2 linked regions of the Elephas maximus indicus genome follow. The protein of the gene in region 1 interacts with the protein of each later gene in a pairwise test. Links are inferred from orthologs where the notes say so. Each region holds a gene or a part of one and is shown on either strand. Other genes may lie near its edges.

The links.
Region 2: the proteins of TPM3 (region 1) and SYCE1 interact in binary tests that used the Homo sapiens proteins (3 or more experiments, as listed by UniProt). The two-hybrid records come from large-scale screens. The link is inferred for Elephas maximus indicus from reciprocal best matches to the Homo sapiens genes TPM3 and SYCE1.

Annotation. Positions count from the first base shown.
Region 1 is NC_064821.1:191,974,357-191,981,471, reverse strand, and holds the start of TPM3 (tropomyosin alpha-3 chain), read left to right. Parts: upstream 1-4,098; 5' UTR 4,099-4,156; coding exon 4,157-4,273; intron 4,274-4,845; coding exon 4,846-4,971; intron 4,972-7,115. UniProt on the Homo sapiens protein: Binds to actin filaments in muscle and non-muscle cells. Plays a central role, in association with the troponin complex, in the calcium dependent regulation of vertebrate striated muscle contraction.
Region 2 is NC_064834.1:83,296,921-83,304,168, forward strand, and holds the start of SYCE1 (synaptonemal complex central element protein 1), read left to right. Parts: upstream 1-4,233; 5' UTR 4,234-4,387; coding exon 4,388-4,457; intron 4,458-7,248. UniProt on the Homo sapiens protein: Major component of the transverse central element of synaptonemal complexes (SCS), formed between homologous chromosomes during meiotic prophase. Requires SYCP1 in order to be incorporated into the central element.

The sequences.
Region 1 (7,115 bases):
TGTTTCCAGCTTTTTGCTATTGTAAACAGAGCTGCAATAAACATGGGTGTGCATATATCTGTTTGTGTGAAGGCTCTTGTTTCTCTAGGGTATATTCTGAGGAGTGGGATTTCTGGGTTGTATGGTAGTTCTATTTCTAACTGTTTAAGATAACGCCAGATAGATTTCCAAAGTGGTTGTACCATTTTACATTCCCACTAGCAGTGTATAAGAGTTCCAATCTCTCCGCAGCCTCTCCAACATTTATTATTTTGTGTTTTTTGGATTAATGCCAGCCTTGTTGGAGTGAGATGGAATCTCATCGTAGTTTTAATTTGCATTTCTCTAATGGCTAATGATCGAGAGCATTTTCTCATGTATCTGTTAGCTGCCTGTATATCTTCTTTAGTGAAGTGTGTGTTCATATCCTTTGCCCACCTCTTGATTGGGTTGTTTGTCTTTTTGTGGTTGAGTTTTGACAGAGTCATATAGATTTTAGAGATCAGGCACTGGTCGGAGATGTCATAGCTGAAAATTCTTTCTCCCCAGACTGTTTTTTCTCCAGCCTCTGGTTCTCCATTGTGGCCAAGGTTCTCAGAGAAGGCACTAGAACTTGCGGGGTGGGAGTGAGGGGAAAAAGGGAGGGCAGAAAAGCAAAACTTATACCCTCTCGCATTGTGAGCCATAAAGGAACAAGGACATAACACCACAGGTGCCTAGCCTGAGGTCTACACGTCCATTTGTTAGTCTTCCCACAGAAGGCAAGAGCCATACAACAGGACTGACTAGGGCTTGGGACAAGTTATTGATCTCTTTCAAGGGCAGAGTGGAGTTGGAGTGGGGGGAAGTGTCCAGGCTAATGGGAGCAAGGACACATGGAACAGGCCTGGGGGCTGAAGCAGAGCCTCCACCCCAAACCCTGCACTTCCACCCAAGCCCCCCAGCCCCCAGTGCAGCTATAACCTGAGTTCCTTTCTGCCACAGTACAGAGAAGCATCAGCCTGCCACTGATATCAACAGACCTGATTCTTTTCAGAAGAAAAATCCCCTAGAAGAGAACCAGGCTGGATCCCTGAGGGAAGACCCTTGGAGAAGGCAGCCCAAGCGCTGGAATTCTTACAGTTAAAAGTCCCAGAAGAGGAGGAGAGTCCCAAGGACTGCAGGCTACTCCCTGGCAGTGGGGGTTTCCTTCTTCACCCCTGATCTCCTGTAGTCTTAGTTTCAATTCTGCCAGGCAAGGGAGACCATAAGTCTTCTCCTCTGGGGCCCAGGCTGGAGGCTACAAGACTTGCAGAGGACAGGATAAAACCCAGACCCTGCTTATGAGACAGGTCACTCTTCTGTATAGGACAACCAAGGGCGACTTCAAGGAGGATGCCTGGAGGACATGAGAAGGTGAGAAGGAACAGGATGGTGGAAAGAGGCCAAGCATTTGGGAAGTTTCTCATGGCTACTTAGCTACAGCATTTAAGAGCAAGATGGTGTCCACAGAATAGACCTCAGCTGTCTTGCGGGCAAGATCTGGAAAGGTTAGGAGTTCTACTGGAAAAAGAAAGCAGGGTGTACAAGCCACCCTCCCAACCTCACCCAAAATGGAAAGCCTCGGGGCAGTTGGAGTGGAGTTGAGGAGAACAGGTGGCAAGGCTGCTGAGGAGTTGCTGACACTGCTGATCCTCTGTGCGCTGGGGCCGTGACTTCAGGGGGAGAAGCTCCATGTGGGAGTTTTTGAGAATAGGTGCCCGGATGTGGAGCCCTGCCAGGTATTCCTCCTGGTGTAAGCCATTGTGATCCAGCAAAGGCCAGGCACTAGTAGGCGAGGAGCTAAGGCAGGAATGGCATGAAGGGCAGATAAGCAAGAGCTGGCTGTCTTGAGAGGTGAAGAGCAGGGGCCAGTGACCTTCCCCAAGAGATGGCTCTTCATCTAACCATGACTGGTGCCTGGTTTATCTGCTCTGTCTTTTCTTTGCAGTGGGGAGAAAGACAAATGACCACGAAAGCTCTCCTGCCTGCTTCTGTATGATATGTTTGATATTGGGTTGTTTAATTAGGAGCCAACTAAATGTCAAACATATTCTTACAGCAGTTGGCAATTCAGCAGCACACTCTTTTCTACCTCAACCTCTGGGGATCCTGTCTTTTCTATTGAACTTCTCTTCAGGACCCCCTCTGGCATATTAGTGGCTGCAACCCATGAAGATTTCAATCTTAAGCTAGAGGGATGGTGTATGAGTGGGATGAGAGTTGGAATTTCCCCCTTAGTAGATAAGATTTCTCTCTTTACCTCTCCTCTCCTTTCCTTGTATTTTTTCATTCAAGTCCCCCTCCCCACTTATTATCCACTGCTTCCCACCCCTGGGACTCTCTTGTTCCTAATCCATTTCCCTGGCTGGTCTGCACATTAGAGGTCTTTGGTCTCTTGCTTTCCTTCAAGTGTTATCTGACCGTTTATCTATTTATCTCTAGTGACTGCAAGCTCTCAGTTCTCAAGAGTGGACTCCAGCTCTGTCCTATGCCTTGCTGGTCGTTTCAGTTTCTTCATTGCTGGGGCATAGCATTAACACCATCCATCTAGCCTTGACATAATGATTCATTTGAGCCATTTATATTCTTCCCTGTTAGCTCTGGTCACCTTGAACAGTGCCCACCGCTCTCCTGGCATACTCTCAGGTTTTATGGTGCCAGTGTGATCAACTGCCACCTGTCAGCAATGAGGCTCCAAGTGGAAGAATGAACACGCCCTGGAACTAAGCTGGGGAGAATAGAGTTGATGATGATGATTATTTTGACGAGTGGTGGTGGGGGTGGGGATAAAGAGAGGGTAAAGGGTGACGGAAAGAAGAGTAGAAAGCAACAGAGTCACGGGGTGGATTATCCAATAGGCAAGGTAAGCTTACCTTGCCTACCAGATCATCTGGAATGAACAATTTCATTACAGATTAGTTAAGTAAGCACAAGTAAGCCTGTGCTTACTTTGCTTACTGGGTCATCTTATGACTGTCAGTTTAAAAAAAGGCTTTGATTCTGCAGGAAGGTGCTGTGAGGTTGGGACAGAGACAGATGCCAGCCATACCTAGAAGCAGAATCTTCGATGTGGTGAAAAAATGTGAAATTGTTCACTACGGATGATCTGGTAACCTTGTGCTTACTTGTCTATTGGATAACCCTCCCCCGTCCCCCGACCCGAGCACACCCATTGGTCCGTGTGGGTACAAAAGTTCTATTTAAAGATCACTATGGGAAAACGGAGCCTTGCTGGCACAGTGGTTAAGAGTTTGGCTGCTAACCAAAAGGTCAGCAGTTCAAATCCACAAGCCGCTCCTTGGACATCCTATGGGGGAGTTCTACTTTGTCCTATAGGGTTGCTATGAGTCAGAATCGACTCAATGGCAATGGGCTTTTTTTAATGGGAAATCAGCATGATCCTGTCTGGCTCACTCTAACCCTATCCTAGTTTAAGCTCTGAGATGGCCTTCCAGATCTCAACCTACCCTCTTACTCCATCCCTGTGGTTCTTAGCAGGGAGGAATGATGTCTCCCTTCTAATCAGGGACTCCCAAAATAGCAAAGCAATTTGATCTTGGGATCTAGGGGAATTGTTAAGGATCATGAGTGACCTCCCCTCTTCACTGTTGCCCAGGCTCCCTGGATACCAGGAATCAAAAGATGAAACCCAACCAGTGGAATCTGATCACCATCCAACTCAGTCTGGGTGACAGTAAGAGGAAAGCTGAAGGGCAACTGAGACTCTGGATGAAAACTCACGCCATCCTAAAATTGCCAAAGTACCCTTCCCTTTTCTATATCAATGTTTTCTCTTTCCCTCTCCCTGCTCTTGTAAAATACCCATAGAACTGCCTAGAATAAGTGGAAATTTTCAGGGTTGGTGAGAGTCTCCCCTCCTCCACTTTCCATTGTCTAAAGTCAGCCTCAGCTGTTCACAGATATTTCTTTGCCGGTGATGTCAGTCCATCAAAGTGTCTCACCCTGTGTTCCCCCAGGAGAATAACGATGGGGTGGAGAGAGATGGAAGGGCCATATTAGGAATAAGAGGTGGAGCCACAAGCAGAGATAAAGGCTTAAGTGTGGGAAACTTCTAGTCACTCAGGCAGCAGCCCTTCCTTTCTTGACCTAGTCTCCAGTTTCTAGTGCTCACAGGTGAGCCCAACAGCCACTGCTCATGATGGAGGCCATCAAGAAAAAGATGCAGATGCTGAAGTTGGACAAGGAGAATGCTCTGGATCGGGCAGAACAAGCTGAAGCTGAGCAGAAACAGGCAGAAGAAAGAAGTAAACAGGTAGGCACTGCCATGATGTCTTTCACCTCCTGATGAATAAGACTGAGATGGGAGAGAGTTTTCATGGGAAAAGCAGTGACCCCTGGTGCCAGCTCCTTCTTTAGGCAAGAGGGACTTTTCTTCCCAGCTTCCCTGGAGGGGCAGAGGACATCTGCGGTATCTGCCTCAGACTACCTGTGTGACCTCGGGAAAGTCAGTGATCCCCCTCAGAGCCACAGCATGTCTGCTGGATTTAAGTGGGAGGTGGATCATCTTTTGGAAGAGCCCGGAAAAGGCGGAAGGCCTGGCATGCAGCATCTCTTTTCCGTTAAATGGAGTCACAGGTATCTATAACCTTAGATATTGGATGCCAGGGTCTTGGATAAAAACCCTGGCATCCAACCCAACATAGGGTCACAGGCCAAGGCCGAAGCGTAACACTTGGAGCATTAGATTGGAAATGGCTGGGGAAAAAGTATGTCTCTGAGGATGGTAACATAGAGGCTGGGCTCCGGGGCCTAGTAGGGCTCAAGAGCCCAGGGTCCAAGACTGTACTGCTGTGTATATGTATGTGACTCTCTGGGCTCCTACAGCTGGAGGATGAGTTGGCAGCCATGCAGAAGAAGCTGAAAGGGACAGAGGATGAACTGGACAAGTATTCTGAGGCTTTGAAGGATGCCCAGGAGAAGCTGGAGCTGGCTGAGAAGAAGGCAGCTGATGTGAGTATTAGAGTTGGGGATGGGTTTAATCCACACATATAGATCTTGATGTTAATATGTGACTAAATTCCAAACACACTTTGACATATGCATACTTGTGGGTCCACAGACAGACATATGTATATACTCACATACATCTCTGCATCTAACCACATACTGGTATACTCTTGGAACAGCATATATTTTCTTCCTTAAAGAGATGTAGAAGTCTCATCTTTCTGTTGCACTGCCAGCCCAGGAATTTTATTCTTTCCCAAGAACTGGATAAAAGGAGAAGACTCCAAATCCAAGTTGCTATCACTTATCCTACCCTTCCCCCATGACACATTCTTAGCTTTTGTGTCCAAGGCTTGGCATGAAGATATGTGTATTAATAGGGAATCTCTCATCTCCCAACTACCCAACAAAGCCAGCTTGGATTTCACAATGGGACTAAGGAGGTCACATTGACTCTGGGCCTGTATAGGTTTCTTTATCTTGGCCAATTTGGGCATCTGATCTCAAGTAACAGAGATGCCATATGAAGCATTCTCATAGGACATCAGGGAGGTCCTTAGGGTGAAAGACTACAACAGAAACTAAGAAGGAATCTTAGAGGGCAAAAGTATCACCACCAGACCTTACTCTATAACCTTGAGTCAATTACTCAGCTTCTCTAGGGCTGAATTTTCCCATTTGAAAAATGAGATTAAATCTTCTTTCCCACTTCATGTTATCCCCGTTTCACTTAATACTCTCCATTTTCAACCTTGAAGTTTGCCACAAAGATAACTGAGAGACTAGATAGGAAAGTCTTTGGGGAGAAAACTACCATAGGAATCTTAACAGCGACAGAAGAATATCCTAGTGTTGATGGAGATAGAGTTAAAATGCTCAGCAAACTGAGTTAATAGGAAAACAAGAGCATGTCACTTAAAAATCACATTTGGTTTTGGAAAATAGCTAGAAGGAATGAATAAGCCATTCACAAATACTTTTGGATCCTTACACTCAGGCTTTTGCCATCAGGTTTCTATCTCCTGTTTGGCTTTCTATCACTTTCAGGGGCCCTGGGAAATGGTAAGGGTTGAATATATGATGCCAGAGACTAGCGACAGAAAGCAGTAATATACTTTATACGTACGTAGAGTTTCCAAATGTTTAGGCCACTGCAAACTATTAATACCCCATTCTTGGAAAACTGCAAAAAGTATGGATTACTCCAAGGGCTTTGGGCAAGTGCTTGATGGCATGCTGGAGTTGCCCTAGCCTAGGTCTGTGTATGGATGTGTGGATCTCTGGTTCCAAAAAACCGGCATACGGACAGAAGTTTTCACAAACTGGTACAGTAAACTGGCATAGGGATAGAAGTTTTCAGGAATTGGTACAATAAACCAGCGTAGGGAGACTTTTCACAAACTAGCACAATTTCAGGCTAGTAACATTTTTGTGAGATGTTGGGTAATAATTCTCTGGGAAAGTCCTTAGGCTGAAACAGCTAATATGTGCGCTTGAGGGGATGTTTCCAGGGGCAACAAAAAAAAAAGTTTAACCTGAATCTTAGGAAAGGCAGAGTGACATAGAGGCCCTTAACAATATATTAATATCATGGGGAAGATAAGAGAATTTCCTGGGGATGAATTCTGTCCATTCTAATCTATTTTACACACACACACATCATCCCCCACCCAGATATGGTCTTTGTTGCTAGTTGCCATCTAGTCAGCTCTGACTCGTGGTGATCTTACATATAACAGAGGTCTACTTAGTATATTCACTTGAACGAAATGTCTGACATTTATACAGGAATCCGCCAAAAACGTTTCAACATGTAAAATGTGGGTACAAAACTCATTCAACTTCTTCCCCCCTTACTAGCTAGTGCAACAAGTCAATAAGCACCATACACTTATTGGAATGGAAGAGGAAGGTTGTGGGCAGGAGACAAAAGTCTTCTAGGGTAGGTTGAGAAGGCAGCAGGCAGAAAAGGCATCTTTCCTCAAAGCTGGGGTCAGCAAACTAGCAACTGTAGGGTAAATCCAACTGCAGCCTGGTTTTGTAAATAAGGTTTTATTGGAACCCAGCCATGCCCATTCATATACAAATAAATCATGTGTACCGGATGCCTTCTCCCTACAACGGGAGTAACTGCCACAGAGACCTAA
Region 2 (7,248 bases), on another chromosome or scaffold:
AGATGGAATACACAGGAGTCAAGTCGACTACATCTGTGGAAAGAAACAATGGAAAAGCTCAACATCATCAGGCAGAACAAGGCAGGGGCCAACTGCGGAACAGACCACCAATTGCTCATATGCAAGTTAAAGTTGAAACTGAAGAAAATTAGAACAAGTCCACGAGAGCGAAAGTACCACCTTGCATATATCCCACCTGAATTTAGAGACCATGTCATTAATAGACTTGATGCATTGAGCCCTAATGACCTAAAAGCAGACACAGGAAGCATCAAAAGAAAATGGAAGGAATACAGAGAGTCACTATGCCAAAAAGAATTGGTCAGTGTTCAACCATTTCAGGATATAGCATATGATCAAGAACCGGTACTGAGATGCACTGAAGGCACTGGAGAAAAACAAGGCTCCAGGAATTGACAGAATGCCATTTGAGATGCTTCAACAAACTGATGCCATGCTGGAAGCGCTAACTCATCTATGCCAAGAAATGTGGAAGATATCTACATTTGTACCCATTTCAAACAAAGGAAATCCAATAGAATGTAGAAATTATCCAACAATATCATCAATATCACACAAGTAAAATTTTGCTAAATATCATTCGAAAGCAGCTGCAGCAGTATATCGACAGGATCTGCCAGAAATTCAAGCCAGATTCAGAAGAGGACGTGGAACAAGGGTTATCACTGCTGATGTCAGATGTATCCTGGCTGAAAGCCGAGAATACCAGAAAGATGTTTACCTGTTTTATTGATTATGCTAAGGCATTCCACTGTGTGGATCATGATAAATTATGGATAACATTGGGAAGAAGGGGAATTCCAGAACATTTAATTGTGCTCATGAGGAATCTATGCTTAGATGAAGAGGCAATTGTTTGAACAGAACAAGGGAATACTGTGTGGTTTAAAGTCAGGAAAGGTGTGCATCAGGGTTGTATCTTTTCACCATACTTTTCAATCTATATCCTGAGCAAACAATCCCAGAAGCAGGGCTATATGAAGAACGGGGCATCAGGACTGGAAGAAAAGTCATTAGCAATTTGCGTTACGCAGATAACACAACAGTGCTTGCTGAAAGTGAAGAGAATTTGAAACACTTATTGGTGAAGATCAAAGACCACAGCCTTCAGTATAGATTTGTAAAAATGGTGTGGGGGCAGTGTCTGACCTTCTCCAACCCAAGGGGGAAGGAGAATCAAGATCAACAGCACAAGGCTGACTCCCATGAGGCAGAGGCCAGACAAGCTTCCTCTCTTTGCCATCTGTACTAATTCTGACATCAACTGTCCCTCACATAGCACTCTTTACTTCTCTGCTGGGCTCGATATTTCACTGCAATGACCACAGAGAACTCAAAGACCATATTTAGGGTTTATTATAAGGGAAGTAACTGTTATACTTCTGGCTCAAGAACACTCAGGATACAGTTCTTTCATCAGGACAGCCTCTTCCCAACCCTGCTCACAGGCACACCTCTCCCTAGCCCTAGGCCTCTCCCCAAAGATAGTCAGCTTTCTCTGTGGGCCAGGAAGCCCAATCCACCTTCTCCTGCTGCCAGGCCTCTCCTGCAACCGCTTCTCACCCTCTTTAGGGTTATAGCTTGCTCTCTCACTCCTTTGGTCTCCTGCTTCCAGGAGCTTCTCAGCACTGGGATCCTGGGTCCAAAGGACGCGTGCTCCACTCCTGGCTGTTCTTCGTTGGTGGTGGTAGGATCCTCCTTTCTGCTCTGGAATTGGCTCTCTTTTAAGTCAAAAATGACCAAGCCCCTTGGAGGGCCACAATTATCTTATCACACAGTCCCACCCAATCACCTGAGTGGGAGTTACAAGACCATGGCTAGAAAGACCACACAGAAAAGTAATTAATCATACGGCAGGATTACACCTCAACATAAAGGAAAAAAAAAATCCTTGCAACTGGACCAATAAGCAACATTATGTTAAATGGAGAAAAGACTGAAGTTGTCAAGAATTTCATTTTACCCAGATTCACAATCAACGCCAGTGGAAGCAGCAGTCAGGGAATCAAACGACACATTTGGGCAAATCTGCTGGAAAAGATCTCTTTAAAGTGTTAAAAAGCAAAGATGTCACTTTAAGGACTAAGGTGTGCCTGACCCAAGCCGTGTTGTTTTTAATCATCTCATATGCATGCGAAAGCTGGAAGATAAGTCAGAAGACCAAAGAAGAATTGACGCCTTTAAGTTATGGCAGATACCACGGACTGCCAAAAGAACAAATAAATGTCTTGGTAAAAGTATAGCCAAAACGGTCATTAAAAGGAAAGATGATGGGACTTCGTCTTACCTACTTTGGACATGTTATCAGGAGGCACCAGTTCATTGAGGAGAACATCATGCTTGTTTAAGTAGAGGGTCAGCAAAAAAGAAGACCCGCAATGAGATGGACTGACACAGTGGAAGTAACAATGGGATCAAACATAGCAACGATTGTGAGGACGGCGCAGGATCCCGTAGTGTTTCATTCTATTGTATGTAGGGTTGACAATATCTAACAACAGATGGTTTTGGAGCCCTGGTGATGCAGTGGTTAAGAACTGTGGCTAACCAAAAGGTTGGTAGTTTGAATCCACCAGCAGCTCCTTGAAAATCTTGAGACAGTTCTATTCTGTCCTATAGGATCGCTATGAGTCAGAATCCACTCCATGGCAACGAGATTGGGTTTATTTGGCTAGCTATTGTTTTATGTTTGACTGTTCAATTGATTGATGGATCCATTCTCAGTCACAGGGAACGATCCCAATCAAGCACTTGATGGAGGTGGGCGCAAGGGAGAGCTTCTTGATGTGAGGGACCGGCGGGCATGAGGCCCTCTCCCCAGGGCCCTCTAGGTGGTGGTCGGGTTCTGTGGCTCTGCGTGGGCGGGGCAGACTTGCACCTGCAACGTGGCCACCTCATGATCCACTGCAGGCTGCCTTCCTCTTGGTCCCTGCAGGGTGCTGCAGGCCAACCCCCAGTCCTGGTCCTCTTGCCTCAGCTTCCACGTCAGCTTGCTCAACCAGAGGGCAGCAACAGCGGGTCACGCCAGCCTGGCCAGCAGGGCTAAGGGGTGCAAGGATGCCGGCCGGGGTCCTCTGGATGCACTCTCGCCAGGCCTGCCCTCGGGGCCAGGTTGACGTACGGGCCTGTGGAGCAGAAGGAGCAGCCCTGATGTCAGGAACATACTCAAATACTGCCTCCAGGACAGTGGCTAGAATTGTATCCCCCGCCCCGGCCCCCAGGGAACTCGGGACCCATCTTCTCTTCCCAGAGATAAAGCTCTGGCACAGCAGACAGTCCGCATCTGCTCCCCTGCCCCTGACCCTATAGCCGGCGGGGGGGTGTGGGGGAGAAGGGGGCCTGCCGGTCGTGATGCGCTGAAGTAGAACGTGCCCATCGACTCCACCGATTGGGCGTCGGCAAGGGGTCCAGAGGCCCCAGGAAGAGGTGGAGACTTGGGCCTGCTGAGGGAACCAGACCAGGACCTGCGGGAGCACCCAGGACGCCGTGGCACAAAACGCAGGCTCCTCAGGGCAGGATCCAGAACGAATGCGCAGGCGTCCGAGCGTGGTTCCGAGGCCCCGCCCGCATTGGTGGGGGCGGGGCCCGCAGGCCGCTGAACACCGCCGTTGGTAGCCGGTTCTGAGTATCTCCCCGTGTGTCTCCGTGTTCTTTTTCATGGAATGTTTCTCTGTACGTCCCTTTTTGTCTCTGGAGTTCTCTACTAAGAAATGGCTGCGACCCCAAGTTCCTGCCTTGGAGCCATCGGTGAAATGAGGACATCTGGCATCAGGTGTTCCCTGTTGTTGTTAGGTGCCGTGGAGTCAGTTCCGACTCACAGCAACCTTATGTACTACAGAAGGAAACACTGCCCGGTGCTGCAGCATTCTCACTGTCACTGCTATGCTTGAGCCCATTGTTCACTAAGGAGTATTAGCAGAGCAGGAACGCCAGCTCTTGGCGCCATGGCACAACACATGCGCACTTACTCCAGCCTCTGTGGGCGGGGCTAGAGGCCCACGCCTGCGCAGCACCAAAGATGCTAAAGGAGCGCGCCCCGCCCGTGTCGTTACACATGCGCAGGACACTGGCTCCTCAACTGACGAATAGCAAGGCCGCAGGCTGCCCTGCCGTTCTCTAAACTGGATTTGTGGACCTGCAAGTTTTACGCATGCGTACTAGCTGCCCGGCAGGGCGCCCGACTTCTTGAGGGCTCAGGCGGGGAACCGTTACACGCCTGTTTCTCTCTTCTTTCCCTCCTCGCGAAGTAACTGCAGGGCGGAAGTGCATTGCGCAGGCGTGTTGCAGGGGGTCGCGCCCCTGGCAAGGTTTGGTCCAATCATCGGCCCAAGCGCCGAAGACGCCAACACCTCCGAGCTGAGAGGAAATGGCGGGAAGGTCGGGGCTTTCGAATGCGGAGCTCGCAGGAGCCATGGACCGGTCTGAAAAAGGCGGAGGTAGTGGCGGGAGGCCGACGAGGGCCTTCTTGGTAGCTGGGTTGGAAAAGACTCGGGGTGCGGGGTCCGAGCGCGCTCCAGCTGGGCGGGTGCGCGGACGCTGGGCCGTTCCATCTTTGGGATGAAAGTGACTGAAAACGATTCTAAGTTTTTTTATTGTAAAAAAACGTTGATCGTTCTTCAAAGAGAAGGGAATAGTTTATATGACTCATTTAACTTGCACTGTATTTTGCTCCTTTGAGTTTTTGCTGAGGCAATTTAAGTAGTTTTCGTGAGAATTTCCGTATGAGTATCTACAAACAAAAAAAATAAAAGGGCTTTTCCCTTGAAGTGCACACCTAAGGGAATCCTCATTTTAACGGCCAGTCCACAGCCAGAGTTCCCTGTTGCCCCAGATGTCCCTACTGTGCCTGGTTTGCTTGGAGACCAGACTGTCTTTCCTTCGGGCAACCAGGGAAAGGAGGGACACGCAGCTTGTTCACATTGTACTAAAATTGAGGAATTGCAGCCCAGCAAGGAGATGAAAAACAGAAAAATCTCCCCAGTGTGTTCTTTGGGAATTTTGAACCGTAGAATGCTGTAGTCAACGCGCTTGTTGATCACTGTCTCGATACTTACCTGCGCCAGTGCCTGCTTGACACATGCGGGTGCTTGGTAGTGTTTTTACAAAATAAATGTTTGAATAATGAAATAAGTTTAGCACAGATAGCTCTCTTAGAGTAGGACTTGACACCCAGTGACAGGCCTAAGGACAAAGAGAAAAATAAACTGGACAGATCTATATATATCCCATTTTTTAAAGCACCTGCTGTGGTCTCCACTCACCATGCCGTAGAAGTCTCTTAGTGTCACGGTATCAAGTTACTCAAATAAGCTAATATATTTAAATAAAGGTTTTTTCAACTTCAACAGCAAAGGAAGAAATTTAAATTTTCAGTCCATCGGATTATTTCAGAAAGGGAAGCAGGGTGATGTCTGATGTCAGTGACCCTGTGGGGACACATGCCTCCCCATACTGAGCTGGTAGGAAGACCAGTGGGTAAAGGTTTTGCAGTAACACATCTGGCAGGATTTTTAACATTTAAATTGATTTTTCCTTTTTCAGTCACCTTCCTAGCGGATCACACAAAACACACAGATTCTGCCCCACTGGTGGTAGCAGAAAATGGGAAAGGAATGGATAAATCAAAGTATACTCATGCACACTGTGAAATACCTGGTGGTGGATTTCTAAAATAAGAAATTTAATTAAAATTAAGTTAAATATTAATTAAAGTTAATTTTTACATTATTGGATATATTTATACTCACAGATGATTGTCAGAGGACATATTTTTATGAAAGAAAAGTAATTGGAAAAATTATGTTTATAAGAGTGCTGTGTGTTGCACAGAAAAATGTTTGGAGGCTGCGTTCTTAATTTATGATTCTGGGGAGTGGATTTTGATTTAGAGGGTGGTGCGGAGGTGAAGGGTCATTTTGAATCATATGGTTTGATTTTTTTATTAAGAAAATGTAGGTAGTACTTGTAGTTTAAAGTCAGGAAAGGTGTGCGTCAGGGTCGTATCCTTTCATCATACCTATTCAATCTGTATGCTGAGCAGATAATCTGAGAAGCTGGACCATATGAAGAAGAACGGGGCATCCGGATTGGAGGAAGATCCATTAACAATCTACGTTATGCAGATGACAACCTTGCTTGCTGAAAGTGAAGAGGACTTGAAGCACTTACTGATGAAGATCAAAGACTACAGCCTTCAGTATGGATTACACCTCAACATAAAACCAAAAACCAAAAAAACCAAACCTGTTGCTGTCGAGTCAATTCTGACTCATAGCGACCCTATAGGACAGAGTAGGACTGCCCCATAGAGTTTCCAGGGAGCACCTGGTGGATTTGAATTGTCAACCTTTTGATTAGCAGACATAGCACTTAACCACTATGCCACCAGGGTTTCCCCTCAACATAAAACAAAAATTCTCACAACTGGGCCAATAAGCGGCATCACGATAAATTGAGAAAAGATTGGAGTTGTCAAGAATTTCATTTTTCTTGGATCCACAGTCGACACCCATGGAAGCAGCAGTGAAGAAATCAAAAGACACATTGCATTTGGCAAATCTGCTAAGAAAGACCTTTTTAAAGTCTTAAAAACAAAGATGTCTTCTTGAAGTCTAAGGTATTCCTGACCCAAACCATGGTGTTTTCAGTTGCCTTATAGGCATATGAAAGCTGGACAACTAATAAAAAAGACTGAAGAAGAATTGACACCTTTCAATTATGGTGTTAATGAAGAATGTTGAACATACCATGGTATGCCAAGAGAATAAACAAATCTGTCTTGGAAGAAGTACAGCCAGAATGCTCCTTAGAAACAGGAATGGCAAGACTACATCTCGCATACTTTGGACATGTTATCAGGAGGGATCAGTCCCTAGAGAAGGATTTTAAGCTTGGTAAAGGGTCAGCGAAAAAGAGAAAGACCCTCGATGAGATGGATTGACACAGTGGTTGCAACAATAGGCTTAAACGTGACAATGATTGTGGGGATGGTGCAGGAACAGCCAGTGTTTTGTTCTCTTGTACATAGGGTCACTGTGAGTCAGAACCAACTTGACAGCACCTAACACCAACAATAACTTGTGGAATACTAAAATGTAAAGGAGAAGGGGGGAATTTTTGAATGCCATTTGAGGAGCAGATGTTAATATCTATCACTGTTAATACCTTGGTTTCAATTGTTGTACCATTGGTTACCACATAGAGAGTACTTCAAAACATCACACTGGA